Linked DNA regions of Lepisosteus oculatus. The protein of the gene in region 2 purifies or fractionates together with the protein of the main gene of each other region. This does not show direct contact. Links are inferred from orthologs where the notes say so. Each region holds a gene or a part of one and is shown on either strand. Other genes may lie near its edges.

Region 1 (10,549 bases), on a different chromosome or scaffold from region 2:
CAGGTTGTGCAGCAGACATTTCATTGCAGAAATGTTCCAATGTGATCTGCAGGCAGAGTTAACAAGTAAAACAAGTAAAAAGTGTCAGCAAAACCGTTACAAAATCTAGAGCAATATTTCTATTGGATTAAAAGAGATGTATTCACAAGCCCGCTTCTCTACTGTATAATAGGTTTGACATCACTGGATGTTTTGTTGCCACGTTCTGAATTGCTCAACATGGCAAAGCGCATACTGGGAATTTAGTCTATTTTGTGATGTAAATGAGTTTTTTCAAGTTACCGTGTACATTTTAGGTTTATTGTGTAAAATTGTATTTTAATTGTTGAAATGCACACATCAATGCTGATTCTTTCTAACTCTTACACTGAAATTTGAAAATTAAAAGATCCCATGACACTCGTAAGGGTAAGTGTGTAAACCCTTGTGTTCCAGCTTGCAGGAACTGGCATAACTTGACCACCTGAGTTGAACAGATTCTTGCTGCTGTGCCTGATCTGCTGTTTACTGGGGTTGCTGGCACACAATGACTGCCACCCAAGTGGTGGATGAAGCCGATCCCTTCTGTATGCACAGCTCTTTGATATCTTTAAGAATGAAAAGTGCTTTTATATATGCAAGGTGTTATTTATTAATTAAATAGTAAAAGATGTACAATAATCTCCCTAGAGATTCCCCATAGGGCTAATTCACTCTACATAGTGATTCCCAGGGGTTTTTTTTCCCCATAAAGGGCTATGATTCAGTTTTTATTCAAGGAAAGGAAAAATGAATGCTTTGAGGCAGAAAAGGATTTTGTGCACTTATACTGAAATTGATAGCTTTTCAGTAGTTTTATCAAACTTAGTAGTTTGAAACTACTTTCTAAAGTTCTAAACTACTAAGTTTTAAACTTTAAAAAAGTAGTTTCACAGAACTTGACAGTTTTATAAGACATGTGAAACTCCCTATTTATCACTTAATTAAATCGAAGACTTAAACAGCTGAACCTAGAACGGCACCAGATTTGTCATTTGCTCAAATCCCCCTGGATTGGACGCTTGGATGCTTGGATGAGTGTTGGCTGATGGACGGTTTGGTTGTTTGCCGCGCTTGGCTGTCAACAGCAGAGTCTGTGTACTGTAAATGTATCTAGCAGTGCTTATCAGAAGTACCTTTTGGTATGGGTGGGGCATTTGGTCACTTGCTGTTTTTTGAGGCACTTGTTGGATGGATGAACAGATGCTACCCAGTGTCTTCTTTCGTCTCTGTAAAGTTCAAAATGAACAGCATGCATGAGAATTTTGCAGTCCAGCTTCCAGACCGAGTTTTAAATGTGATCAAATATGCTTCCACCACCCTGTCAAACTGAAGATAACTGAAATGCGGTAAAAGGCTAGTTGATCTCCCAAAGAGCCCCATTCTTCTCACTTTTTTTTTACTTTACAAGAATATCTTGTAAAGAAGTCAAATATAAAACTCATTACATAGATTACACTGTACAAGTTTTGTCATGTACAAAATGCTGTAGGATAGAGCCTGTTTTCTGTTTTGAATTAGCTGTGTCAAACTGTTTTTAAAGTTTCTATAGACCAACGATGTTCGCTAATCATTTGGCAGCTCTTGAGTACTTTCCCTCATGACTATAGGAAGTTCAGTTTAGTTTTGATTTACAATGTTGCTTACCAAATTGTTAACCTGATGAAATTCAAGGTGCTGCATGTCATGTTTTAGTAGAATAAGCTAAAATTAAGAGGTTTTACATTACAGTTTCTGCTCATTAGAGGCATTGTGATTAGTTTAGCACCCTTACCTTATTAGAACACTTAGAAGAGTTTGTAATCTCTTCTGTAGCCTGTTAGAATGTGTATTCTTATCAATATTCTTAGATGATGGAGCTTTCAAATTTTGACAATTGTTTGTAGCAGAAAAACCTTTAGCTCTCATCTAAATGGAGTCACATCAACTGAATGAGCAACTTGTAGGTGTTGAATTATTTTTGGGAGCGGGCTTCAATGCCATTGGAGACTTTATGATGCACAATCATTGAAAATGTAAATGGAGAAACCAAAATGTGAGTTCTTGAAAAAGGAGAGAATGGGAGTCACAATGTTACTTGCCTGTTGATTTATTTAGTCTTCAGCAGGCTTTGGTTTCACATTCAAAATTCTTTTTTTTTTTTAGATACCCAATCTCCAGTTTCAAATGTTCAGTTGTGAGAAAAAGTTTGTGAAATGATCTGGATTTCTGCATGAATGGCTCCTAAAATGTGATCTGATCTTCATTTAAGTCTTAATAATAACTAAAGACAGTCTTATTGAACAAACAACACACACAACATTTTACATTGTCGTATCTTTATTGAACAAATGTCAAGGTCATTGATGGGAAAAGTAGGTGAACCTCTAGGATAATGACATCTTGAAAAGAGGGTAATTGGAGTCAGGTGTTCTAATCAATTCAGGTGTGGGTTTGACCTGCCCTGCCATATTAAAAAAATCTCAACTTTGGTTACCTGCTCTTCACAACAGAATTCTGTTGAACTGCAATATGGCCTCATCGAAAGAGATTTCAAAAGACTTCAGAAGAAGAGTTGTTGAAGCTCATAAGACTGGATTTCTGAAGACCTGGACCTCTGTCTGTCCACAGTCAGGCAGATTGTTTACAAATGGAAGAAATTCAGCACTGTTGCTACTCTCCCTAGGAGTGGGCATCCTACAAAGACTGGTAGCAAGGGCACATCATAAAATCCTCAAACAGGGGACAAAGAACCCTAGGGTGTCAGCTAAGGATCTGCAGGCATCTCTTGCACTTGATAATGTCTGTGTTCATGAGTCTACCATAAGAAACACTGAACAAGAGTGGTGTTCATGAGAGGTGACCATGAAGGAAACAACTGCTCTCCAAGAAAAACATTGCTGCCTGTCTCAACTTTGCTAAAGTCCACCTGGATGGTCCACATCACTACTGGAACAATGTTCTGTGGACAGATGAGACAATAAGTGAGCCTTTTGGTAAATATACTGTACATAGCGTTTTCTTTGGAGAAAACAAAACACCATATACCAATACCAAAACATCATCCCAGCTGTGAAGCATGGGAGTGGGAGTATAATGGTGTGGGGCTGCTTTGCTGGACAGCTTGCAATCATTGAGGGACTAATATATTCCAAGTTGTATCAGGATATTCTACAGCAGAAGGTCAGGGAATCTGTGATCTAAAACTCAAAAGAAGTTGGGTCATGCAACATGACAATGATCCAAAACACAGGAGTAAATCCACAACAGAGTGGCTCAAACAGAAGAAATTCCGTATTCTTCTGTATGAGAGTCCTGACCTCAATCCCATTGAAATGCTGTGGCGTGATCTGAAACAGACTGTTCAAGCAAGACATCCCAAAATTATACATGAAATGAAACCGTTTAGTATAGAGGAATGGGCCTAAATACCACCTAACCGAAGCATTTGGTTGAGATTATTGCCAATAAAGGGGGTTTCATTACTTACTAAATATAAGGGTTCACATACTTTTTCTATCAATGACCTTGATTGTTAAAACCATTTGTTCAATAACAATATGGCTATGTAAAATGTTGTGTGTGTTGTTTGTTAAATAATACTATATTTATTATTATGACTTAGATGAAGATCACATTTTAGGAGCCATTCATGCAGAAATCCATATAATTCCTAAGGGTCCACAAACTTTTTCTTACAACTGTATATATTATCTCTACAAAGATCAAGGTATAACATACCTGGTATTCAACTGGAAGAATACTGGAATACTGACAGTAATCCAAGAGTCCTGTATTGCCCTTATTATGAATGACGTCTTAAACCGTTATCCTCCAGAGAGCACAATTTATGTGTAACTCCTCAACTTTCTTTTAGGTTGTTCTTGTCAAGAGCTTCAATGTGTTTTTTGAGGATTTGGTGCTCAAACTGAAAATAAGCAAATGTGTTATTACATGTACGCGTCCTACATACTTACTACCTCTCCCATTAAGATGACTGGAGGGGGTGGGAGAGGATCTGTGCTGAACAAAAAGGGATAGGAAACAGCCTGCAGTTTAAGCATCTTAAAATGTATTTAAATATTTATTTAATACTGCTGAGCAAAGCTAAATTGACATACAAGTGTTTAGGAGAAAGTAAAAAAAAATGTTGTGTATGTCTCTTCTTTAGTGCATTTGTAGAAACCTGGTTAGCTTTTCTATTGTATATTTCCCCTAGTAAAGGCCTTTTTTTATTCAATTTAAATCTGTTGCTTTTTTTGTTTCTTAAGCCCCATGTCTGGAAATTGTTAGACAATGGCAAAACATTAAACCTCAGTGGTGTGTTCCATCTTTTGATTTTGTACTGTCCTTTGAGACTATAAATATTGCTGAACCTTTTCTTGTACGATCCAGATACCATGAAGAAGCCGTGTTCCTTCTTAGTCTAAATTCATTAAAACATCAATGTATAAAGATTTGGAAGTTTTATTATTCATTGAGTAGGTACTTTGTTATTTAAAGATTGCTTGAAACAGAAAAAAACCTAAATAATATTTAGCCCTTAAAGACCAGACTTCCTTTAAGATGACTAACTACTTGCTCAGGAGATCATTAGCCTAACAAGAGCTTCTGATCCCTAGAAATAGTTATTATACCATCATCTTTAAGACTTACTGGTTTGAGCTATGTTCTAATGGATATCCTCTAGCTTACCCAAGATGGATTCCTTTGCAGTTTCTGGTGTCTGAATGTCACCTACTACATTACATTATGTCAATCTTCAGGAACAAATACTGTCACTGGTGACGATAAATATCCAACCACCCCATATGCTGCTTCTTTAGACCTCAGTTTATAGTGATTGTTACAGTATACTATGCTCTACCATCATGAAATAAGACATAGAATGCCACCCTTGCTATTTTTTTTCTGTTGAGCACACACACACACAAAACCAAATGACATTGCTTCATTCTTACCATATTGTCGGGTGCCTGAAGAAATAGTTGAGTTAACCATCACTGTTACTGTGCAGACGTGATGCATTGTGTTGACCATCTTGATAGTCCTATGAGTGGTTGAGTAGATCTTGCTGGATCTTGAGTGGTATTGGCACTTGGCAGCATCAGTAGAGGAGTGGCCTTTCAACGACTTGGTCATTTCACCTCGCAACATCCATGACATCATTATTCCAAGAATGCATTACAACCATTGAGTTTCTGCTTCATTTGAAAAGTGCTTAAAAATGAACTTCAGCATTCTCACTGCACTTATCACCATTGTATGTGTAAATTCACAATTCCACATTTCTAAATTTCTGTCAGTAAATGTTGCAAATCATATTTGTGGGTCTGAACAGATGCAACTTTTCTGAAGTGTAGGAATATAATTTACAGTGTATGGATATTACAGAATGATTTATAATGGTTTTGCAATTTGTAAATCTGATATCGAAATCTGAAATTTAAGCACCATCTCTAGTGCTAGACAATGAATACTGTTCAGGAACATAAAAGTCGATTCAAGCTGCAGAACACACATCATTGTCATTTTAGTCAAAAGACCGCCAACGTTAAATAAAACACAACTTCCCGAAGGCCTTCATACTGTTTGTGTCTAAAGCAGCGCTTTCTGGAATATGTAGTTCAAAACGTGAACTGTCATTTAAAACAGTACTGAAGTCCTAAACTGCATTTCCCAGAAATCCACGGTGGCACCCTTTTAATCAAATACGATAATGCAGGTCTTTTTTGGGAAATGTAGTATTTTCTGTGACTCGAGCACGGTACTAGTTCTCCTCCCCTGCGGTATCAAGACTACTTTACCCAAAAGCCATTGCTTTCACGAGTTTCTTGCCGCCATGTTGTAGGAAATCCGCTTGTGGGGGGATTACAGAGTTTAATCCGAGAGAACAGGGACAGAGGCTGGAAGATAGAGCGAAGAGAGAGAGAGAGAAGAAAAAAACCCTAAAGCAGACATAGGCCCGAAAGCAGTGAAATACAGTCAAATAACCCAGCAGCTAAACACCGTGGCATTAAAAGACTTCGACTCGCCAAAATTGGGAGAGTGGATTTGCAAAACCGTTTTTTTTTTCCTGGCTACATTTTTTAAGTTAGCTGGTTTGGACTGATTCTGTGACAGAAATTGACAGCAGCTGGATAGCTAACGAAAAAGAAGAGAGGGGAGAGCAAAATTTGTCAGGAAAAAATAATTTCGTCGAGTAAAGTGGGTTTCCCCCCCTTTCCCCTTTCCCCTCACATTTTTTTTCACCTCCTAACTAACCAAGGAACTCCCATTTTGGGTTGTCCTGGTTTGCTGGATTTGAATTCGAGGGGAAATAAAAAAGGACAGAATAAGCGTACGCAGGGGGAAATATTAGAATACAAAATTCCTGAGGTGAGTCGAGGTGAAAGATGTCTGGGAAAGACCAGAATAAGCAATCCACCACCGAGCGGATTATAAAAGGTAAGTGGTCTTCTCTAACACGGAACAGCAACTTTTACTGTTTGTGTTTTCGTTTAGGGCGGGTTTTCTAAATAGCACGGCAATAATTAAGCTATCCAACGTGGACATGCATTCGTGTCACACCAGGATCGGGGTCGGCTAGCTGTAAAAAAATACATTTTTCTCCCCCCAACCAGAGTCGAGTACAGGCTGTAAATCTGCGGTGTGTATCGTCTTGTCCGAAATGCCAAGCTTAGCCATCTACAGTAGCTACGTCGCGTATTTCAACGAACATTTAAACTTTGCTGGTTATGTTTCCCATCGTACGTGTATTTATATCACACGAGGTTTGAAACAGGTTTTTGGTTCCATTCATCGTGCAAACCAGCTGCCGTTTAAGAGCACTCTTAAAACACAGCTGCGGTAGTAAAAGAAACGTATTATTATTTAATTTATCGTTTTATACTACTTTTATTTCTTTCTGGTTTGTCCAATTGTACAAATGACTTGTCCTGCTTTAACGTTTGTACGGAAGAAGTTCTAATCTGCCTTTCAGTTTAGCAGACCTCTGAAAAATCGTATTCATCCCCTAGAACTGCTGTCCGATTGAATTGAAGTTATGATTGCAAACGTGTATAGTGTAGTCGTGCATTTGAGTGTGTGCTTAAATAGCTTAGGTCATGTAAGACATATTTCCTAAGCTAATTTCTAATAATACATTGCATTTAGCGATCCAGAGCTGTCTTGCTGGAATAACAGCCAGCTGGCTTGGGGTGAACAGTATTGTTTGGCAGTTGAGCTCTGCGCCTTGACCAGCAGTCCTGACGCTAAGAGGTCTTGACGGAATGTGAAGAATTACTGCCCCATCTGGTCTAAGTGTAACAAGGTGAACGGGCTCGGATGAGCCTTGTCTGGGTCAGAACACAACGCAAAACAAAACTACATCAACAAAAATCCAGCTCCGTCAGGTTGCCATCCTGCGACTGGCGCCAAGCTTTTAAAATGCATCATTTCAATAGGCTCAGTATTGCCCGCACTCCCTTCCATTTTGGAAGCTTTTGCATTCTTTTAGAACCTGGAACGAGTGTAAAATGCTGCCTTCTATGGCACATCTCCGAGCAGAGGTCGTAAGGCGATTTGTAATTGGGAAAGGCTATTAGAGGAAATGAGTCCCGTGGGATTTGAATGAATCGCGATTTAAACGTCAGAAGCCCGGCAGTGAGGAGAACAGCCTTCTTCAAGACAGTGGAGTCAAAAGCTGCATGTGAACCTTTTTTTTGCCGTTTTCATAGGTGATAAATTGGGCAGTTTTTATACTTTACATGTAGGGTACAAGACTTGACTGTAACAAAACATAAAATTGAGTCAAAAAGGTTTTTTTCTTTATGGAGTGGTAACTCATTCACGTCTACTATATGAAAGAGAGAAAACCAGGCAGAGTTGTGGATGGGATAGGGTGTGTTAATTCTCAAGTTTTATGTTGAAGCAAGGAAACATGACAGAGCACAAGGGCAACAGAAGATGGAGGAGGGGGAGGTGTTGGTAGAAGTTCTTTAAAGTGCATGCCATGAAAACACACCCTGAAGCGACAGAGGTGGGGATGTTTTCTGTTTTGCTCCAAGAGAGCTAGCTGTTTGCATTCTGACACCACTGTTGGATCAGTGTGGGATTCACGCCTATCCATGCTAATTGATTCAGGGATGTTGCCGTAAAAGATTGTGTGATTAATCACGTTGAAACTAACGAATAAATCGGGCACAGCCAACCTTGGCACTCACATCTCTGTCTGAGGCAAGGCTAATCCTCAGTTATTTTAGTCACTTTCAGTGACAGAATCAGATAAGTTAATAAGAGTTCATTAATAAAACTATTTGGGTTTGCAAAGGAATGAAACGGAGGCTGTGAGTTTGCCCAATCTGTCAGTAAATGCTTCGTTACAGCTTTTAAATACAACATTAATATAGACTTTAGTGTTGGGAAGTTCATGTGTTCAGCAAGGGAAACACTTTAGTGATATTAATGATTCTTGTTTCATTAGAACAATCTATAGAAAGATGCAAATATCACGGAATTCACTGAACTGATATTTCCCATCCTCTTAGGGGGATAAATCTTTGTATTTTTTACCTTTTTGGTAATTTAGATATAGAGGTTGTTTTGTAATTTCATGTGCTGAAGAAGGAAGTAGAGTGTCTACCAGTTTTGCTTAGATTACATTTGCTTCAGGATTTCTAAAATATTTTCATGTCCATGAATTAAAAATTAGTTTAAATTAATTTAATATTAATAGTTAAGAATGAGGAAAGTACTGTTTCATTGCTTATGTACAGAGTTAGTAATCAATGTAGTTGGTTATTGATTTTATTTTACATAAAATATTAAGCATGGGGTGCAAAGATCTGTCATTAAGGGCTATATTAATGGAAGTTTTGTTTTGTGGGTATCTGCTTCATTTCAGTGGCTGCATATTGAATTTTTTATGTACAAGCTATGGAGAACAAAGCAAAGCAGTGTAAAATCTGAAAGGACTGCGATAGTCTGGAAAGACTGTGATATGAGACTACTTGAGCACGACTCCCACTGGCTAAAGAAATAAAGCAGTGCTTTATGAAACAAACGTGTTTTAACTCTGATTCTAATCATATCTTATTATAAAAAAATGCCAAAGAGATGAAACAATGTTCAGAGAATGAACATCTGATATAGTGTGCCATGGCTTCCCTTATAATAAGTGCCCTCCTCCGAGAGATTTTGGAGATCTTTCCAGCCTTTGTGTTCTCCTTCTGGCTCGGATTTAGAGTTGGGGAGCTGATCTTGATTCCTTGTATCTAATGGTGACCCTTTCCTCTCTCCATGTCTTGTCTGTGGATCGGGAAACTCCAGGTGAGGGCTAAGCTCTTGAAGCCTGTGACAATACAAACCTCAGCTTAGCACCGGCAGATGAGGAGAGCTGCCGTGGGTTTTGAAGCAAGTGATTCCTTGCACTGCACTGCACAAGAGAGAAAGTATTGCGTTTGACTGAGAAGACAGGGTGTACCCTAGGTCTGAAAAGGAGGATTTAATCAGTTACAGAACCTAGGTTTGTTGAAATACGCTTTGTAATACCATTCATATTAAAATGAAAAGCTTAAACTTGGAGGAAAAGTTAACCTTCAAAAAGCTAAGAAGAAACAGGATCAGCATGAGCTTATGAAAAACACGGCCTCATGCTGATGGTCTTGTAGAAGGCAGAAATTTATACTGTGGGCAGGTTGGGTTGAGAAGAGCGAGCTCCCAGTTTTACATTGGCTGAGCATGGTGTTTTAAAGGGTGATTTTTGTATTTGACTCCTGATTTTTTTTGTAAACAATTGCAGACGTTTACTGGTGCATAATCTTACATGAACAATGTAATGCTTATAATTTTGGCTTCCATTTGTAAATGGAAAACAGTGCGGGAGTTCACACTTGAGCAAATAGCTCTGAAAGATAGCCTTTTCAAGTTAGAAAGATTAGCATTTAGGTAGGTCTACAAATAAGTGGTAAAAAAGGGTAATGATTTTTTCATAATGTAGGCCATGTATTCGAGTGCTGCAAGGAAATTAAAGAGAAAGTACAGTTCTTAACCAGCAGTAGAAAGAACTTAGCAGTGTTCCACAAAGATCCCTTGCAGTATTCTATAACTTCAGGTCAAATTCTAATTTACAGCAATTGATAGTAAAACTTAAAATTAATGCAAATTATATTATTCGCTTTGTAATGATGGTTGGTTTTCTTTATTGATTTGAATTTTAATTGATAGAGTTTTCAGTCATTAACTTTTTTTATTTAAAAAAAACTTTCAGGAAAGGTATTTGATCTTGAAACCCTTTTGTGTAGTCATTTCAGTCTGTTTGCATTGCATTCTGATTCCTCGAAATGTATCCATCAACGCTGAGAGTAAATTGAAATGCTGCCAAAGTTTAACTTGTGCTGTCAGATTCCTCTTGAGTTAAATAATGAAATTCTGAAGTTTCAAACATGCAAATTAGGAGGCATACAACTAAAAGTGAGCTGTCTGTATGATTGATACAAGCTCATCCTCCAGTGGGTGACACATTCCCCACCTCAGCACATGGTATGCTCACCTGCCCTATTAGTCAAGCGTT
Region 2 (10,766 bases):
TGTCTGAGCCAGTAGGTGTGAATCCCTTTGAAAGGACACTGGAGAGTCACAGTCTCCCCAGTGTGAGGAGTCAGTGACACACAGTTAACAAACAAGCTGCAAAAAAACAAACCTGCAACCGAAATCAAACCGTTTCATTTTCCAAGTTGTCAAACAAAACATTTCTTAAAAAGACAAAGATCAATGTTTACACTTCTGGAAATCAGAAATGAAATGTAAAAATTGATTTGTAGGTTCTGTAGTCTTTTTTTTTGTAAACACCTAACTCTCTACACTACTTGTTTTACAAAACCTTTAGTAACACCCTGCTTTTTCCTTGCACAACATAATTCAGTTTTTATTATGCAAGGGTCAGAAAGAGCACCCCTTGCTGTGTGTACATGGCAGATCTCCTTCCTTCTCTCTGCAGCAGAAATGAGTGAAGCCCAGTAAAGATTTTTCCCCCATACTCACTTGTGAAGACCAGACTAATTTTCATCTTCTTGCAGGGATTAGTAAACATTTTTAAATGACGTCTGCTTTCTGTGTGTCAAGAGAGCACTCCTCTCCGTGCTGATCGGTACTGACTCCGCCTGTAGTAGAAATTGCCTTTCTGTGAAATGGGCAAAGGAAGTTTAAACAAACTGTCGACACACTTCTGCTCTGGCAGTGAGCACACAGGCTCTGCTCTTGTTCAGATCAGGACTTCTCCATTGGAGATACTTAATATACAAGCATTTCTCCCACTGACGGAAACTCAGATCTCAAAGTATAACGAGTGTGTGACAAACTGAACTTCTGGATGACCTAGTGTCCTGAAGTTTTTATTTTATTTGAACTCTGTTACATGACTGCTGTAATTATTTCATTAACAGAATAATCTAACGAGACCTGAAGGTGTTTTATAACAAACTGTACTCTACTGAGTTGTATTTTTAGAAAAAATGTTTATGTTTATGTGTAAAATATGTTTATGTCTGATAAAGAAATTAATTAGGTTAATTGCTTAGTGGACTACTCAGGTTGGATCAAAAACCACCAGACACAAGGCCCTCAACAAACTGAGCTGGACACCTCTGGTATAAATGAGTAGTTCTGTTCTGTTAGGTGTGCTTGAAGAATCCTACCAGACCAGGAATCCCTGCCTCTCCCTCAGGAATTGAGTCTTGATCCTTCAGTCTGTCAGGAAGAGACTTTCTGATTCTTCTGAGCCCAGGAGAGTATCTACTGCTCTTCTCTGGACTGATTCCAGAGCAGCAATGTTTTTTATTACTTGGTGTCTCAAAATCGTGCACTGTTCTGAATCAGAAAAGGAAAAGGTTTATTCCGTGCTGAAAAGAGAAGAAAAAAAACACAACATTTTGACTGTGGAGCCTTCTTCGGGCGTGTCCTCCACAGCCGAAACGTGTTTCTTTTCTTTTCTTTCCAGCCATGAATAAACCTGTACTTGCTCCTTTGCAGCCTACGCATGGTGACACAGCCATCTGCTTGCACTATTCTAAATGACCCCTAACCAGTGTATTATACAATATTAACATAACATCCCTTGTTTTAGAATATACGCTGTTAACTATATATCATAACGTTTGGGGCGCCTTTTTAATTCCTTTCCCACATTGTCTGCAAGAAGTAAACAGTCTCATGTAAATGTCCATTTTGCTCTAGATATGTGATATCTTTATGATGAGGAACAAGTTATAGGTTTATTCCATGCTGAAAAAAAAGAAGAAAGAGAACACAACGTTTCGGCCGAAACTAAAATTATTCTGCAGCTAGGATCACACATTCTCCCTTCCCTTAACGACAGACTACTGTTCTTTTAAATTTTCTCCATTCATTGGAAGTTTCATTTCACACCTCTCTGCACCCATTCTGACTTCACACCTCTTGATTGGCCTCTCTTTCTGTCCCCTGCTCCCGCCTCTCACTCCTCCTCCCTCCCAACCTTTGTTCTCCCACTACTTTACCTTTGTCTACTGCCCTGTCTCTCTCACACCTGAAGAAGGCTCCACGGCCGAAGCGTTGTGTTCTCTTTCTTCTTTTTTTCAGCATGGAATAAACCTATAACTTGTTCCTTTGCAGCCTACGCATGCTGACGCAGCTACCCACCTGAATCTTTATGATGAGCAGACATATACTAGAATGACAATGTGTCAGAGACTCCACCCCAGCTGTTATTTCTGCTGGTTACATCTTAGGTAACACGTGTTAGTAGCAGCAAACCCTTTGCATTCAATTCATGATGAAATCAAGCAGAAAATGTTACAAATACACAAGCATTTGATGTGTTGTTTTTTTTTTTATCACTGCGACATTTTGACCATGCCCCTGTGATATCTGAAACACAAATTCAATCCAATCCCTGAAACTGGGGTCTTCATACAATTGATACATGAATACCTTCTCCTGTCTACGTGAAAAGCTGTCTTGAGAAAAGCCGTGGTTTGAGAGTAACAGATAAGAGGAGACAGTTCTCTGATTGAGTGGTAGGTGTTTAATATCAGCAGTTAGAAACACTCCATTCGTCTGATAAAAAAAAACAGCGCTCTCTAGAGACGGGTGTGCTCAAAGGTTCAGTTTGTGAGGTGAATTCTTCGGTTGCCATTAAGGAAGAATAATAATTACACGCTTTACAGGTAATGGACTCCCCTCCACCACCAACAATGTGCAGAATCCACCTGGCTCTGTGGATCCTGACAAGTTCATCATTGCGGCCTGTTTCTGCTCAGTTTTGATTATAAATAATGCCACATATATAAAACAAGTATAGATTTTTTTTTTAGTTTGTCTGTTAAGGGGTATAAGTACACTATGAAAATCATTTCAAAAGTACTGTAGAAATAATGGAAAATAATTTGTGCCGCAATTGTATATCAATGAACAAACAGAAGTGTGATAAAGTTCAATATTGCGCATTGTCACTCCAGAGTTTTGATAGCCCTGTCAGTATCGGTGAAATAGCATGGCCATCTTTTTTCCTGCTCCCACAATCGCCTTGTGCCTCACGCTCTTAGGTTCAAACGCGCTTTTCACTTTTGGCCTGTTTCTGTCTCTTTTTAATTTGCGTCTTTCAGAAGACATCAGCTTGAGTTAATAGTGTTGGTATCTCCTGAGGATTTAAAATCCCTTGATTTAAATTGCACACTTTTAGCTACATATCCTAACATTATTGTTTACCTTCACCGATATTTCCTATAAGATGTAAATGAAATAACATATATTTATTTTTTCCTCGGTGTATGTGATATCTTTTTGATGAGCAGACAGCTTTTTTTTTCTTTCTGCCGAGGTTCTGCCGGTTACATCTCGGGTATCTCATCTGAAAGAGTTGTCATACAGCTTCAAGCCACTAGAGGGCTGTCTAGTGTTGTTGAGTGACAACACAGGACTGAAAACTGGACAGCAAGACCGAACTGGTAATATAAGAACGTTGTTCTGTGACTTAATGCTGTAAGTTACAAAAACAGTGATTACGACTGTGCATTCAAGAAGTGCACAGTAAATAATAAATGGAGATAAATACTAATAAAAATAATTAACATAAGTTGCTAGAAAGCTCCTTTAAATACGATGGTTAATATTTTATTAATGTTCATTTGGCTGTTAGTTTAGTTTCATCTATGAAGCTGAAAAGCTCAGCTCCCAGACTTGAAGCCAGCAACATATTTTCTGACACTGTACTCGCGTGATTCCTATAGTAGTTTTTTGGAATAATAATTTTATTGCAATTGAAATTGAAATGTGGGAGGCATGGTGGTGCAGTGGTTAGCTTTGCTGTCTTACAACTCTGGGGCCCTGGGTTCAATTCCAGATGTGGGGTGCTATCTGTGTGGAATTTGCAAACTCTCCCTGTGTCCATGTGGGGTTTCCTCAGGGTGCTCCAGTTTTCTTCCGCAGTGCAATGAGCTTCTGGCAGGTTAATTGACTTCTGGGAAAACTGGGCCTGGTGTGAGTGTCTGCGTCTGCCCTGCAGTAGACTAGCATCCTGTACAGGGTGTGTCCTGTCTTGTGCCTGTTGCTTGTTGGGATAGGCTCCTTTTTACCCTGCACATCTGTACTGGATAAAGCAGTAAGAAAATGAATGGATGGATGTTAATTAGAACTGGCAGCCTAGAGGGGATCCAGCATTTAATTTTAATATTAATACATTTCAGTAGAATGTTAGAATACCGTTCCTTGATTTTAATTTGACTCAGTTCATTATCTATCCCAGCATTCTGTTATCATTTCTACCACCCCTCTCTCCTGGGGGAGGAAAACGATGAGGCTACCTGATCACTCATGTTCCTTTTCACAGCCACAAGACCTGTGTCACCCATCTTATAATGTGTATTTCTGCTGCTTGACACTGGTCTGCATCACGTCCTGCCCAAATTTCCCATTGGCCTGTACAAATCATGGCCTCCTAATAATCTCCATCTATGAATTGGCTTCATTACTCTGTTCTCCTCCCCAGTAGCTGGTGTGTGGTGAGCGTAATGGAGCACTATGGCTGCCGGCACATCATCCAGGTGGATGCTGCACAGTGGTGGTGGTTGGGGGGAGTCCCCATTACCTGTAAAGCGCTTTAACTGGGGTGTCCAGAAAAGTGCTATATAAGTGGAAGCAATTATTATTATTATCACATTTTATTGGACCTGTATGAGCTGAGCCTGGTTCTGAGGAGTATCCAGTTCTATTCTGATTTGCATTTGCCTTTCCGGGTTCTACAGTGTTTGCAGTAGTTCCCAACTCCTTGTATTTTGGAATCCTGAAAAACAAAATCTGACAGGTCTGTTAGGTAAACCCGAGTAAAATGTGGTTATATAAATTAAGAAAAGCAAGGATTTAAACTCACATCTCTGAGGTACCCCACAAATTGGGGCAGGTCCGTTTTAATTGTCTCCCCTGATAGTTATTCTTATCCTTTTATTTAGTTACCAGTCCATGTGCACATATCTTGCTCAATTTAAGAGCTATTATTTAATGTGAAACTTAATACATTAAAAAAACTAAATGTACTACATCATACACTCTAATGGCATCCATTTCTGATGCAAGTCAAAGAAGTGAAATAAGTGAGTTCAACAAGATCTGCCCTTTCTGACTAACCTCTGTAAAACAATTCCTTTTCACTATTAATGGCTCTGGAAAACTCTTGATGCGAACGTTAAAGGCCTCGCCAACCCCGTGTTAAAACTAGCGTGGGCGCTGGACGGACAGGGACACCGAAAGAAACGAGCACGAAGGAAAACTAGGTGGTTTTCTTGACAAGAGGTCGCCAGAAACAAAGGAGTTCACCCCCAATCCCAGCAGTAAGTGAAATCAAGAGATGCAAACCCGAAAAGATGCAATTTATTTTGAGTCTTTTTTTTTCTCTAAAAAAATAGCAATAACAGTTATATCTGTTAATGTGAATGTATGTTTGTAGCGAGGGTCCTGATTCCGAGCAACTCCTGCAAATGAGGGTCCTGTTGTTAGTGTTGGGACACTGTTCTGGTAGATTACATTAATGATGCCAGGACACTTTAGAATATAGAACATCTCAGTACTACAGTCAGCACTGCACATTTAAATGACGTGTTATGGACTGTGTTATAGTTTCTACCTGACGCTGTATTCTGCCACACCCTTCCAATGAGCTCATATCAGTTTACTTCGAATTACTATGTTTTCACCACAGTGCTCTGTAGAGCGGCACAGCGGGTACCGCAAACCAGAATGTGTCCCAAGTGACTCCGCAGGTCTAGCAGGAAGAGTTTTGGCTCTGGTCGCAAGCTGTTAAAGGTTCCGAGGTTTGCATGCCAATAGCGCCGTTTTTAGAATTAATTCACATGCACACAGGGCATTGCACAGTTTAATTTATTCGTAATAATTCGTAGGTTTTTTACCGATTTATTTCGTACGTGCTGTGGCGAAAACGGAAGGAATATTTCAACCCAACAGAATATGACTTTAAAAGAAAAAGCACAACACCAAGCCACCAAAATCGTCGCTGTTACCGGGCAGACTGACGGAGCATGGCTAGGGAGGTGTGACAGGAAGTTCGTGAGGCGCTGCATCAGCGCAACTGGGAAACGAAATTGGACGTCATCAGCATGACGGAAAGAGATGTTGACGGATTTTGGCCAAGGGTCTAGCCGAGCTCCCCGTCAGATCTACTTAACACGGCCCTACAGTTGCATATGTCTTTAAGAAAACCGGTCCTGACAGACTACGGTTATTTTTTTCTTTCACGCTGAGTTCCGTTGCAAGCAGAAAGAAAGTGCGACGGGCTCATTCGGGGTGCGCTGTATGTGTTGAGCATCTGGAGGAAGCAGGGGCGGCTCTTGTCGCGGCGGCTCGCTGGGTGGGGAACTGTGCACAGCCTCTGGGGGACGCGTCTGACCATCCGCCTGCCCGTCATGCTACAGCAGGAGAAGAGCGAGGAGGAGGCCACGGTGGATGTCCATTTCACTGATCTGCCCGACGCGCTGATCGCCTGCAAGGTGGACCAGGACGTCTTTCTGGACCATCAGTTCAGGGTGAGGATGAAACAGCGGTTTTCCTTGTCTGTGCGTCTTATCGTGGTGGTGGGGGTGCACCAACACAAACACGTCTGCGCCTTTGACAGAGACCGGTAAGAGCAGCTGCAGCCAGGAGTGTCACTTAATAACACAACATTCAGTTTCATGCACCACAAAAGGGAGGGGTTAGCCCCCGTTTACAGGGTGTTCTAAGTTATCTACGCATGATAAACCTGAGCCGATCTGCCTGTTGTGCACATTCCTAATAGGTAATCATGCGCTCTCTAATTTTCCAGGGAAAACGCAACTCGTCTGTTTTTTTTTTTGTTGGAAAATTGCAGACCCTGAGGTGACGCGCGACTATTTTGAAGGACGAGCACATTTTGCTGTGTCCGGGTTAAGGATAGTGAAACGGCTAACGGTGAAAATAAATGCCTTTATACTGAATGGTTGCACTGAATGATTCAGGTTCTGAAATATATCTCGCTGTGTGTCAACTTTTTCTGTGCCTGAGTTTTAACTTCCTTTTATATTTTAAAGGACAGAGGTGTCACCACACCTACCTTTGACAAGGTTGAGGACTCAATTCAAGTGTCCATTATCAGAAAGGTTACAAACGAGTGGTGCCTGTCTGTTCCATGTTATACTTAGTGCTTAATTGATCCACAAATCTCATCCGGATGTTTCTTGCAAGAGACCTGGTGATCAGCTTGAACCACGTGGCTGGGCAGCTTGTTCCACACTCCCACAACACTTTGTGTAAAGACATACCCCCTGTTTTCAGTTTTAAGTGCAATCCCATGTACGTTCCACTTGTGTCCCCTATTATATGTTGTCACTTTCTTAAGAAGTCCGCTGGGTTGATCCTCTCAGTGACTCTGAGGATTATGAATACTTGAAGCAGGTCCCGTTGTAGTCTTCTCTGTTCAAGACTAAAAAGGTTCAGTTCCTTCAGCCTGTCAGTGCAGGACACTCCCTTCAGCCCCAGCGTGTATCTGGCAGCTCTTCTCTGGACTGATTCCAGAGTAGCAATATCATTTTTCATAACTTTATAGAAATAGATTTGCTCTTTTCTGAACCAGCCAGTGGGGTGGGGGTGTGGGGTAATTTAATCAATTAAGACTCTGTGGCCCCCAGGCAGGGTGTGAGCCCCCCCACCTGTCTTCAAATCTGGAAGCTCTCTGTCATGCTGTGCCACAGAGGAGCCCTGGGTTAGTGTGTCTAGTAGTGTGGAGCAGTGATTAGGACTAAGGACTCAAGACCAGAGGGTTGTGGGTTCAAGTCCCAGGTAGGACAATGCTGTTGTACCCTTGAGCAAGGTTATCTAGCCCTGTACCAGTGTAAGATTTCTTTGGATAGAAACATCAGAGGAATACAGTGACATAACCGATGCTTGGTTCTGACACGACACTCAGTGTTTTAACCATATAGGCCTACCTGGACTGATTCTTCATCCTTGGTGTACATTGTGCTGGGAGGAACTTCTGTAAATCCTGGAGAAAAGATCTGGGCACAAACTTTGTCCTTTAAACAAAGTTCTGCGGTCCATGTGCTACCGGGTGGATGCCTTGGGCTACCTGAGGTTTTTTTGGGGGTGTCTCTGTGGTTCTCAAATCGCGAGAGTGTGTTATATGAGGAAACATGTCTCCTGAAAGACCCAGTGAAGTATGTCAGACTCAACCCAGCACCTGGGCAGAGCTCTGGGTGGGAACTATAAGAAATGGACAACCAGCCTGCTGAGCTGCTGGAAAATTCACAGCGTCTGTGTGGAGGAGAGGTGCTGGGCGAGTCGTGTGTTTTCCCTGGGTGAGGGGCAGGAGCAGGGTGCTGAACTGAGGTAGGAAGGGGAAGGATCCACCAGTTCTAGCCCAGAAAGAGCTCCAGGAGCCCAGCTTGGATTCTCCATTTCTCCCCTTGTGGGCTCAGGGTGCGAGACGAGTGGTGGCCAACTATTACAGACTGGCGCTCTGGGTTCGAGACTGCCCCTTAACTGAGCAGTCGGTCACCCGCAGCAGCTCCGGCTCTGCCCCTGCTGGGCTCTATCCCTGGAGCGTGACTACGTCAGGGCAGTGTGGCAGCAGGGCTAGGGGCTGAGTAACGGGTACGACCCAGTGTTCAGTGTGGTGAAACAGTGCTTTCCAGTTCCTGATGGAAAACCGAGCCATGATGACTCAGGAATGGAATGTACTGTGCGGGAGATGGAGGTGCTATCAGTAGACTATCTGCAGAATGGTGGTGACAGCCTGGGATCTGGACTAATTGTTTACAGCAGGATGTTTCAGCTCTGAGCCAGGAGGCTCTGGTTGTGATTTCTTCGTCTCTTGAAAGCAGCAGCACCTGAAGAGACGGTGGCAGTTGATCCATTTTTCCAGTTCCAGGTCACTGATTGATTGAGGTCATTAAGAGCTGGGCTGGAATGTAAACCGACAGACACACTGGCCCAGAGGTGGCCTCTCCTGGGTTAAAAGGGGAAAAAGAGAAAGTTCAAGATCACTTACAAGAAAGCTACCAGTGATGTAGTTCTTCATTTGCCGTGCTGGAAATACCGTCATTGAAAAAGTATTATTTGTTGCATATGTGCACTGAAACACTGAAAGCCAAGACAAGCCCAAGTTAAGTTGTTGTTTCCGCCATTGCTTGGGGCGGAGCGGTGGCTCTGTGGCTAAGGATCTGCGCCTATAGCTAGAAGGTTGCCAGTTCAAATCCCGCAGCCGGCAGAGGAATCCTACTCCATTGGGCCCCTGAGCAAGGCCCTTAACCCATACTGCTCCAGGAGCGCCGTACACTGGCAGACCCTGCGCTCTGACCCCAGGCTCTCTCCCTACCTGTGTGTCTCATGGAGAGCAAGCTGGAGTATGTAAAAAGATAATTCCTAATGCAAGAAATTGTAAAGGGTTAATAAAGTAATGTTATTATTAGAATCAACCATCTTTTCACAGATGTCTTCGGTTGTTCTGGCCGTTCTTCACGGTTGGACCGCCAAAAGTGTCGATCAACGCTAGTCTGTGCTGTAATCCAGGCGTCGGTATTCAGAGCAAGTGACGTCTCTTCTTCCCGTGTGCGCTGTTCGATTCCGAGCCCATCTGAACCGGCATCACGGCAGGCGTCTTTCAGACTGTTTTAGAATCCGTTACTTAATTAAATATTGGCCAGAGAAGGAGAAGGAAACCTTGCAGAAAAAACGTGTTTTGTAGACCGAAGATTTCAGTGGTGCAGGTGAAGAATGTTTATTTCTGTTCCCTTTGACGTTCCCGAATCTGCGACTGGGACTCCTGATGGTGACGCACCGGCTTTTATTGCTCTTGGAGGGTACCGATCTCTGTCCTGCTGTCTTTAAAAGTGGGTGCCCTTTCAGCACCTCCACCCAGTCACAGGGCCACACGTATTTGTGTCTGTCAAGCCAGGTGCCTGCAGTGTTTTCTGGCTGTGTGATGTCTTTAGAAATCTCCAGAAGCTCTATTGGAAAGTTGCTGTGAGCCCGGTTCCTGTGTGGTCGCCGTTGGTCCGATCCCCTTTTAAAAAAACACAGTGTTGCGGTCTCACAGTTTCTGTGCACGGGTCACGTTGTCGGCGCAGTAAACACTTCATCATCTTGCATCTCGCTTGGAGAGACGTGACTCAGAGATCCTTATTCCAGGCGGCAAACATCTTTATTTGTCTTTCCAGCAGAGCTGAGGAATCTCATGACCGCGCGGTGAATTGGCCTTTGTTTGTGGAGGGTGTTTTATTCTGGAGTTTCCGGCTGCTCAAGCTGAGACAGAGCGGATCGTTGGCTCGCTGGAAGGCACCCTTCCTCCCAGGAACGGGGATCGGGGACAGGGCTGGACGGCCTGGAAACACTAACAGCTGGAATTGGGAATTTTTGCTTGCCTGTAAGCGAGCAAGAACACCTGCACATGCAGCAGGGGGGTGCAGTATAACCCCTTCCAGCAGGGCGTGCCCCTCGATTCCTCCCCAGAACCTCTCCGGCTCTTGCCACAATTGTCTAGCTCACACCTAGAGAGCCACGGCCTAGTGTCCTTTTCTAAAAACCAAAAGGAACTATAATAATGAAGCCGGTCGATCTTCCTGTGAACTCACAGTCCCTTCTAGGAGTTATGACTTGCTAAACGTTTCAACAACGTGCCACCTCTTACATTTATTGAATAATTCAGCACTATTACCACTTATCAGTAAGTGGTGGTGATCTGTAAAATGAACTGGACACCGCATCTGTGTCCAGGATCTGATAGGTAAACAACGCTGGTAGTTATACTGCCCATTTCCCCTGTTAGCCCCCAGGCAGATATTTATTTATGATGT
Region 3 (10,493 bases), on a different chromosome or scaffold from region 2:
CTACTTCTGATCTTCTTGTTCAGTTAAGGTATGATTTGAAAGTTGACATTTTTCAAGATAGAGATGTCATCCTTAATGCATTTGGATTTAAGCATGCCAGGTGTTTTACTACAGCAGTCTGAATGAAATAATTTAACGAAGGGTACGATATTGGTGCTCCACCTGGGATTTGAACACAGGGCATACCAGTTATGTGTCAAGAGCCCTAACAACTTGTTGTAAGGAAAACATTTTACATCAGGTTAGTATATAAAACAGTAAAGCCATATTCTGATTGAGTTCTTACTACTGCAGACTGTGGTGTTCTTAAGATCCTAAGCTTAGGGTGTTACAAAAGTATTTAAGTCCTTGCACAATTTTCACATTTTGTTGATTTGGGGCTTTTGGTCCCTTAAGTAAAGCAAGCCAGATACCTTTACAGTTAGTGAGAGCAAGATGAAGTGGGATAGAATCAATTGGTGACGAGGGGAAAACACATGCACACATTTCCTAATTGAGCCTCAGAGATGGACTGAGAAGCTTCCAGCTTCTGTGAATCTTCAGGAATGCCTCTCAGACCAGGCTTATCCTGACACCACAAGCATGTAAAACCACAGATGAAGAAACCTTGGATGAAGACGAAGAGGTATAATGGTGTTCACAAACTATTAATTGGCATTACAGTACATATACCAGTAACAGATTAAACATTTCAGAAAGTGATTTTTAGGGGGCTAATGGTTAAACAATCCATTTGTAAGAGCAGAGGATTCAGTGTTGGTGTCTTTACCTATGTGAAAATGATTTGGATGTTGTAGTAAATTTATCACTGTCGTCATTCAGGATTTGTTAAGTGGTTAAGAATGTAAATTGGATAAGAGTATGCAATACTGAGGTTAAGGTAAACTTGTATTATACTTAAGATAGACCACACAGGCAACACTGTCTTCAGTTTAGAGACTTACTGTAGGTGCTTAAACTGAAATTATATACAGTATGCAGTTCACATATAATTTCAGTGATAAACCTGCAACCAAATGAAAATAAACACTCGCATGCTGAAAATCACATTTTACAGATATTAAATTAGCTAAAAGTCTTTATACTATGTAGGTAAGAACTCGTATGTGAGTATTGGTTAAGGCCATCAAAATATTGATGTAATGAACAAGGATCTACCGTAAATTATGGTACTACCAGCACAATCTGGGGTTACAAATAGCAGGTGGAATATGAAGAGGTGAAAAAAAATCTTAATAAAATATTGCAGTTTTCCCAGCTGATCAAATACTGAATTCAAGCCTCTAGGATCCTTGACCAACCAGTTTATGCTACATTACATTCTTTTTGCGGGAACTGATAGTGGCTTTGAGCTCCTGTACCTGTCTGTCTTAATCTCTCTTAATCTTTTCTCAGTAAAATAATTCTGTATATACTTTTCTTAACAAAGGTCTTAGAAACAGTAGACACACTCAGGAGTTGAAATATGTGTGTGGTATTGCCATTAACAATTACCTTAAAGCCTCCTTTAGTGTTTTCTGTTGTTATAACAACTTTACCTTAATAATACCTCATAGTTTGCGTAAGAAGAAACCATAGCTTCTTGCACGGAAGAAACTGGAATACTGAGCAAAACTGATAAAATGTAGAGAAAATACACAAAGTGTATCAGACTCATTTAGAAAATAATTGCTGTTCACATGCATTTACAATTGTTTTTTGCTTTCTTTAATAAAATTTTCACATTTTATAGTCAGTATACTATAAGGGCTAGGTAGAAGCAAACACTGTTAATTAAATTATTAAAATGTCATATATAGCAAAATAAAATATTTATTCTGTAATATGTAATGGTAAACTTTAAAAAGCTTTGAGGGTTTATGGTTTTACAGTTTTCAGATCATTATAATGTTGGGTTTTCAGGGTTGTTACTATGATACTGTACATCTGTGCATTGCATAACAGTAATATCTTGAACATTATATAACCATACCTTTAAATTTAATGGGGGTTTTGGCCAATAAAGCTCAATTAATTAATCTGTATGTTATGTAATGGTAAGTACAAACTAAACTCAAATGAACACACTGTGCCTTTTTATCTTTAATTAAAGAAATATCAATTATGGCACAAAATCTGTAATTAGGAGGTGTCATCAGGGCAGAGTATTACAGAGACCTAGAGCTCCTTCTAAGCCTACAATCCATTATTACCCTTTGTTGCCAAAATGAATATGAAATAATTTAAGCACACTTTAAAACATAATCTTCCATTGGTCTTACAGTAGGTATCACTAAAAGCATTATAAAACAGAACTGTGAAGATTTAAATCTTAGAGATACACTGCCATTCTATATATATTCTAGCTTTTCTAGCTATTTTGTTAGTCGAGGACGAAAACAAAATGGCAATATTACACCTTCCTTAGGTGATTAATGTACATTTTAGACATTTATATTTAGACATATTGGGGCAGTGCGGTGGCTCTGTGGCTAAGGATCTGTGCCTGTGGCTGGAAGGTTGCTGGTTCGTATTCCGTGGCTGGCAGAGGAATCCTACTCCATTAGGCCCCTGAGCAAGGCCCTTAACTCCAGCTGCTCCAGGGGCACCGTATAAATAGCTGACCCTGTGCTCTGGCCCCAAGTTTCTCTCCCTGTCTGTGTGTCTCTGTGTCTCATGGAGAGCAGGTTGGGGTATGCAAAAAGACAAATTCCTAATACAATAAATTGCATATGGCCAATAAAGTGATCTTATGTTTGTTAACATGTTTGAAACAAAAGTTTTAGAAGGCTAACACTAGCTTTAATAGTGCTTGGACAAAATCCAAAACAAAAGAAGCATATTGCCCCAGATGTATGACTTTATTGAACTTTTCCCAAAGTTACCTCAGATTTGATCTTTAAAATATGTTCTTGTTCTACTTGTGAAATGAGTGATTTACTTTTCACTTTGTGCTTTTACCTGTCTTAATTGATTAATGCCTCTACAACAGGTGTGATATACTGTGAACTCTATGAACTCAGTTTCAGAAGACACAGACAAATCATTGCAATGCCTTATTGATATTTTAGCTTTAACTCTCTTATTTTGAGGGAAGGACAGTTGGCTATATGGATGAGGAAGTTAAAATCTGCCTAGTCAATCTTGCTGTATTGGTGGTGGGAAAGTGTAAGTGCACCAAACACTGGCAAATAGTGGTCTGGTGGGTGTTATACCCAAGAGTTAGGGTCTCTAGCCATGGTCCCAGAGTGTCCCTATAATTATTTAAGATGGTGTTGTTTCACCAAGTAATTTAGAGATCATTCGGAACAAAAATTAAAATATTCTTCTTCGGTAAGAACCAGTGCACCCTTCATTACACATCACTTTCTTAATGAATCTGTTGTTTAAACAAGTGTTCCTGTTCTTTAAATAACGGATGATTTATTGTGACCTTTAAGAATAATTGGATTAAGTCTTTCCAGTACCATAGTTGGAGACTAGTGCCCCCAAGCCATTGATTGGTGGCAATAGGGTCTTATCCTGCTAGTAAACTTTCTTTATGTGCTCCTTATGTTGGCATGAATCGAGGAATAAACAACATTTTACACAATTTCAAATTGCTCTGGTGAGTTAATCATTTTCAGGCAAGAGTATAAGATGATTACTTTATTCATTGAAGCATGCCCATAAATTATGTGTTTTTTCTGTCCTTACATGTATATTTGAAATGATTGTTTTTGGTTTAAAAGTTTCCTGATGTATAGCAAAGAGCAGTTGTGAACAGAACATTATCTGTCGAAAGGCTGAAGGTTTCTAAGACTTAAGCATTCTGTAGAGACATTTATGTCTTTGACATTATATATTGTGGTGCTCTTTGCACTTTCCATTTACGTGCAGCAGCACAATAGTATGACATTTCAAATTTTTAGCCATTTTGTTTTAAGGTTAAAGACTGAAAGGTTTGTATTTTAAAGTACAAAACATTGTCTTTTAGCTTTAATTGGAATTGATTGGTTAATGTGATTGATAGGCTACTGCAACTATTATTAAATGGTTTCTCATGTATCATTTGTCTTGAGCTGTGATTGGGATTTAGAAGATCTGCCCTGTATAAAGTAAAGATTGCTAAATTAAATGATAAGTATGGTTTATTCTCATCCAAGCTAAGGTGTATTAACCAGATTTTTATAATCGTATAAAACGCTAGTGGAAGCTGTGAGTGATTCATACGTGTATTGTAAGATGTTTAAGATTTTTACATAGTACTGTAGGTCTGATAATTAAGGATTGTATAAGTTTCAGTGTTTCAGAACCTATTCTGCTGGACCAGTCAGAGCATATTAAATCATTTAAACTGGAGCCATGGACTACTACATCTCAGTTTAATTTAAATAAAATAATAATAAAATAACAAGAATGTAAAGGATTAGGAAATCTATAAAACAAACTTGTTTAAGTAGGACAATGAAGACATTTTGTGGGATTAATAATTTGCACATAAGGCAATGTTATTTAATATTTTCCTTTTATTTTCAGATATAAGTAGCATAGCATGTTATGCAATCATGTATAACCTGTCCTCTTTATACACTGTTTTGTAAACTAAAATTGACCTTGAGCATATCAATGAAGTAGCGTATTGTCCTATTGGTCTTAAGTGGTTTGTTTTCTGTAAGGAATTTTAGATGCGATTGGCTATCAGTTTTCCAGTCTTAATGTTTTAATGAGAAAACACATCCCATATAGCAAATTGAAAGTGAGATTGCTTGTGTTTTACAAAAATTGTTGCACTAAATTCTAAGTGATGTGCATTTCTGCTGGTGTGCTTTAGGATGCACAGTATTTAACTTCCAAAAGTCAACATCTTTTTAAAGTTTTTAATTACTTTAGTTCTTGTGTTTTGTGACTAAAGCTGCCATCTTGTTTGTAGAATTTATTTTTTGAAACTGGACCTGAATTTATTTGATCAGTGATTACCCTTGAATGCTGGATTCCTACTTTTAATTTTTAATAGTATGCAAGACGAATGAGGCTTGCGGTCAAACGCATCAATTAAAACCCTCATTTATCTCACTAGATTTCCTAGACTGCACATGTATGTTGCCATATTCTTTTTTTTAACAAACTGTCTTTGAGTCATTTCTTCAAGGAGGCAGGACAGTTTGCTTGGCGATAACCCCTAAAATGTGGAGCAGACTGAAATAGACACTGGGGCTCAGGGAATAGCTTCCAGTTCTGTACCTTCTGCTTAATATCTGTCACATTTCTTTCCTGCCTGTGGTTCTTGTTGTTGCACTTTTCCTTGACACTGAACCGTTTGGGAGGTGTCTTACTGTTGAAATTTGTGCAGCTCTTCCAGGAGGCTTCAGTGTATCTCTCCTGTCCTCTCTATCTAATCGGCGAGCTCAATGTTGGCAATGGCTTCTTCTTTTTATTTTGCGGAGAGGGTGAATAAAGTGGGAAATGCGAAGAGAGGTAAAAGACAAATGCCGTCTTAAGAGTCGTTTTTGTATTTTGTAGCAGTTGGGTTGTTTTATTTTAAGGGCAGAAACCTGAATTCTGCCAGGTTCAGCCTTAAAGCGATGTAGGTTTTTGTAATTGCAAATGTGAGTATTGAAATGTGACTACAGTATTGACAGAGCTTATCAGGACTTAGGCTCTCATATAAGATTGGTGGCATGAAAAGTGAATCATTAGTAAGAAAAGCTTGAAACTTGTGAAGATTAAGCCTTCGTTGAAAGGATAGGGAGGGCTTTACATTAATAGCTGTAATTTGTAGTTTGAACATGTACAGTACAAGATACATGTCTAAAATGCTTCCTTGTCAGTATTGAGAAGAATTAAAATTTATATCTATCACTTTCTAAATTGGAGTTTGCTTATAGGAAAGTGAAGTCATGACTTCATTTGTTGTATAGTACTGCGTGCCCTCTTTCTGAGTGATTGTTAAATCCTCAAAATGTGTTAAAGCCTGTTGTACAGAAACAATAACTTGAATCATTGGCACTCTTTCATGACATTTCAGAATACTTTTCAAGGGTTGTATATTTCACGGTATAAATAGACATTCAGCATTCATTTTTCTAATGTGTGTTTTAAACTCCATTGAGATTTCACCTGCCATTTCTTATTACATTATGTTGGTAGACCTAAAATGCAGTGTAGCCTGTACTTTTTTTGTCCCACAAGCTGATTTGTTTTAATGTTATTCATATATTACCACTTGAAATCTAGAACTGTATTAAGCAAGAAATATATTTAAAACCTATACAAATGACAGATATGTTAACCAATAATTCATAGTGGTTTTTGTTTAAAGGCCACTGGATTATTTGTAACTCAATTTGTACAGTGTAATTTATTTTTTCTAGTGGAGCGTTCTTGTTTACTTTACGTCCATGCTATTAGAGCCTAGAATGGTGCATTTGTTGCATCTGTGTTTTCTCTTCCAAGTGTTGAAGCTCATTTTGTCACTTGTGCTGTGCCATGTATTTACTTGTCACACACCAATTGCAACTACTGGGTTGTGAGTCCAGACCTTGGCCAGTTGTCAAGTACTCTTGTTAATTTTATTTCCCAAGGGATTCAAAAGAGACTGACACTGAAAGATGTAGTGATTGAAACATGTATTAGTTATGCCTCTCTTAAATGTTTCTGCCCCATGTTGCAAGGTCTCTTCTTAAATTGCTCTACCTTAAATGCTGTGTTTTTTAAGCGATCTTAAAATAATGTGCCCTTGATACTGTGAAGCTTTTATTTATTAGAGCAAATCTGCAAGAAAACTTGTGCCTACTTTAGGGGACTGTTTCTGGAAAAAAGAGCTTAACAGCAAGGCCACAATTGTTCAGAGCCTCAGGTAAAACTCCATGTGGAGGAGTATTTTTGGAATTTGGGTTACAGATTTCCCAGGAGTATTAAGAATAGAGAGCAACCAAACAAGTATTTTTTTTTGGAATGAACACAAATTAATGGGGAATTTGGGCAACACTGAGAGCCTTTTCTGTTTAATTTCAAATTAATTGCTCTATATGTTAAAAATGTGATCGCAATGTCTTTAATTAGTACAATTTACAAATATTCCCTGTTTTTGTGCTCAAAAGTTCTAATGTGTTAAGAAAACAATTTGTTTTGACTAATATTAAAAACAGGGCAGCATGGTGGCATGGAGTTTAGATTTTCTTCCTGTGTTTGTGTAGTTTTATGCCCACAGTCCAGATATACTGCTAGGTTAATTGAATTCTGGTAAATTGGCCCTGGTGTGAGTGTTTTCACCTCTGTGGTTGTGTGTTTGTGTACCCTGTGAAGGACTGGCAATCCAGCCTTGTGTCAGTTGCTCTGTGGGACGGGCTACTGCTTCCCCTCGCTCCAGAATTGGATGAAGCAGTTAGAAAATGGAAGGATGGAATATTAAAGACATATTCAAAATGGACATTCATACAATTCTTTTGCTATACACACAGCGATTACTATTGAAAGTTTTCCCATTGAAACACTTTAAGATTACAAAAGGAGCAGTCTTTGTTTTTGTCTGATCTGTTGTACAACAGGATACTTAGACATAGCTCTACTTTTGTTATACAGTATATCATTGTGATAAGCTGACACTTCCAAGCAACATAATGGCAGAGTAAATTGTTTATTTTATACACTGTGTTACAGAGAGCTGGACAAGGATTACAGTGAGAGAAGATACTGTGATCTCACATGAAGAAAGTGGCTTGTTAACCACTACCCTTAGTTCAAGTTGTAAGGGATTTTGATTTAAGATTTTGATTATGGTTTGATTATAACACCACCAATGAATCTATATCACATATTTATAAGTACAGCAAATTATAATTTAATGAGTGCACAAAGTTGTATCTGGTGTACTTTCACATCGTAGGTTATTGTAGTAAAAGGATATTAACATGGCAAGTCTATAGTGTGGATTCTTATCTTAAGTCCATTATTTTTTATAATGGCCTGGAAAAGCTCAGATAAGTTATGCCTGCTGTTCCACTTTATTGTTCCAGATCTATGGTAGCTAGTTAAATAAAACCAAATTCCTACAGTTAGTGAAATATTTGCTTTGGGAGATCTTAAAATTTAAACTAAAATCTCATATTAGAACACCCAAGCTTTGCTATAATTACTGAAACTGTGCTCTGCAAGACAGATCCTAAAATAGATAGCTCAAAAATGATTGAGAAAGCTGTATTTACATAGTTTACTTAAACTCCTCAGTCCCTATGAACAAATGCATTGTTGATATAAGGTTGTATCTACTGTATGGAAAGAAAATCAATTGCAAATTCATATTTTCTTAGGTGACTAGTCCTAAACAATATGAAATACCATTAATGAAAATAAGAGGAAAAGGCTAGAAGAAAATATTTTATGATTGTATAGAATCTTATCTCGTAGGATTGGGACCTTGCAAATTGTGGGGCATTTTTTGCCAGGATTTAAGGGCAACCAAAACCTCACTAAATGCAAAGTTTGTCTGAAATTTCAGAAATACTGCTAGTTGTAACTTATTTTGACAGACTTAAAATAAACCACCCATTAACAGTTTGTTATGAAGTGGATAACTGTGTATGTACAAGACATTCTACAAAATGATGCAAGTACAATCTGTAAAAACCGAAATAGTGTGGAAGAAATAATTAATACAGTTGTAATACCAATTCATTTTATCATTGCTGATATGAAAATTGAACTAGCTTGTGATTAAGTGTCTGTATAGGTATGGGTGTCTGTATAGGTTGGAATTTGTCAAATCCAGATTATGCATACTATTACTATTAATGTAATATCTTATTAAAGGTGTACTTTCATTTTAATTTTCAGACAGTTGCTGCTTTGTCTTTTGTTAGATCTTTATAGGATTGCAGTTGTTGCAAAAATTGATCAGTGAAAGGTTGAATGTGCAGTGGTTGGAGAATTGACAGAAAATAGAAAGGCTTGAGTAATGAACCAGCAGTTGTGTGCTTTCAGTTAAGGAGTCGAGCACATATACCCTTCTGTTTCGTCCCCATCTGCATCAACAGCCGCCTTCAGAAAAAGACACATTCATTATGCATTCAGAAGATTCACAAACGCTCACAATTAAAATACGAAAAGAGATACTCAAACTCTCATGTTTGTGCTGCACTGTGCCGAGTGAATGTCTTACCTCTGGTCTGCATTCTAATCGCTTAATTACTTGTGGTCTCTTTCTTTCAGCTGTTGAAATGATATTTTCCCTTCAGTGTAATCATATTACTTTTAGCTAGTTTATATTTAGTGTATATTGAACTTGGACTTCTGTAAAATGTATGATGACCGGAGGTAATGTTAGCACTTTATAGCATATGTAATCTTGTTGGATCTGGGAAGCTGAGCAAAACTGGTGCTGAGTACTAGGATTGGAGGGTTGAGAGGAGCTGCGTGAACTCCTCTGAGAAACTCCGGAAAAAAGAAGCCTTCTTAGTATGGTGACATTAGACAAATATTGTTTTGGGTGGGACATTAAACTGTGCTCCTGTGTGCTTGGCCGTTAAAGATTCCATGGCACCGTTCATAAGAGCATGGGTGTTAACCCTGGTTTCCTGGCTAAATTCCACTTTGGCCTTGCCCAGTCTGATCTGCCTCAGTTCGGTTGATGAACAAATTTCCTGACAAAGAAAAGAAATGAGCTGTAGGTGCATAATGGGTGTCCATGTAACCCAGGTGGGTACTGTACTTATTTGGTAGATGAAATGGGCCCCCTTCCGCATGTAAAGCTCTTTAGAAACCTTTGGGACAGAAATCACTGTATCAATTCAAGTTATCATTTAGATTCAGGAAGCACCACCAATGAGAAAATTCTTCATGTTTCCCAAGAATGAATAAAACATTGCCTTATCTTACATTCTAAATCACCATCGTCATGCCTTTTGGCAACATTAGGAGTGAACCTGTTTTATATCTAATTTCTACAGGCACACTAAAAAAAACATTGATTGTTTTCTTTGTTAAATGATCTTATCATCTTATCATATCTCATACCGAGCAATGTCTTAACACATTAGAAGGGTTTTTTACAGGTTGACAGCAATTCCTGCGTGAAAGCAGTGATTCTAAATATATTGGCATATGAGTGCTTTTTTTGTTGTTTAATGCATTTTCCATTGTATTTTACTTTTTGGATTTTTTACTTGTTTTACTAAGGCAAGAAAAATATTGTGTGCAAACAAGACTTCACAACATACCATTTTTGGAAACGTCTGTATAAGAAGCATTTCCATCATGTTAAGTAAGCTCTTTTTTCCTCAAACATTACTAATTTCCTTCACAGAATCCTTCTGTTGAACCTATATTGTTGTATAAACCCCTATTCTTTTGTAGAGCCAATACAGTAGGGGTTACATGGAGGTATTCCCCTGATAAGTTTACTCTCCCTGGACTCCTCCTATTTACTCAAATTCCCCTTGGTCTGCCAGTGATGATCAGTCCTCCCTCTCCTGTAGCTTCTTCTGTCTCCTTTTTGCACCATTTACTACAGCTGGTAAGCATTGAGAAGACCTCTA

What was found.
Region 1: the proteins of rcan1a (region 2) and ppp3ccb purify together in Homo sapiens (affinity purification with mass spectrometry; 3 studies listed by BioGRID and IntAct, counting the BioPlex papers as one, with this or other methods). This does not show direct contact. The link is inferred for Lepisosteus oculatus from reciprocal best matches to the Homo sapiens genes RCAN1 and PPP3CC.
Region 3: the proteins of rcan1a (region 2) and protein phosphatase 3 catalytic subunit alpha purify together in Homo sapiens (affinity purification with mass spectrometry; 5 studies listed by BioGRID and IntAct, counting the BioPlex papers as one, with this or other methods). This does not show direct contact. The link is inferred for Lepisosteus oculatus from reciprocal best matches to the Homo sapiens genes RCAN1 and PPP3CA.

The regions. Positions count from the first base shown.
Region 1 is NC_090697.1:68,024,178-68,034,726, reverse strand, and holds the start of ppp3ccb (protein phosphatase 3, catalytic subunit, gamma isozyme, b), read left to right. Parts: upstream 1-5,848; 5' UTR 5,849-6,392; coding exon 6,393-6,444; intron 6,445-10,549. UniProt on the Homo sapiens protein: Calcium-dependent, calmodulin-stimulated protein phosphatase which plays an essential role in the transduction of intracellular Ca(2+)-mediated signals. Dephosphorylates and activates transcription factor NFATC1.
Region 2 is NC_090708.1:26,438,678-26,449,443, forward strand, and holds the start of rcan1a (calcipressin-1a), read left to right. Parts: upstream 1-6,006; 5' UTR 6,007-6,362; coding exon 6,363-6,482; intron 6,483-10,766. UniProt on the Homo sapiens protein: Inhibits calcineurin-dependent transcriptional responses by binding to the catalytic domain of calcineurin A. Could play a role during central nervous system development.
Region 3 is NC_090696.1:32,553,644-32,564,136, reverse strand, and holds the start of protein phosphatase 3 catalytic subunit alpha, read left to right. Parts: upstream 1-5,363; 5' UTR 5,364-5,369; coding exon 5,370-5,436; intron 5,437-10,493. UniProt on the Homo sapiens protein: Calcium-dependent, calmodulin-stimulated protein phosphatase which plays an essential role in the transduction of intracellular Ca(2+)-mediated signals. Many of the substrates contain a PxIxIT motif and/or a LxVP motif.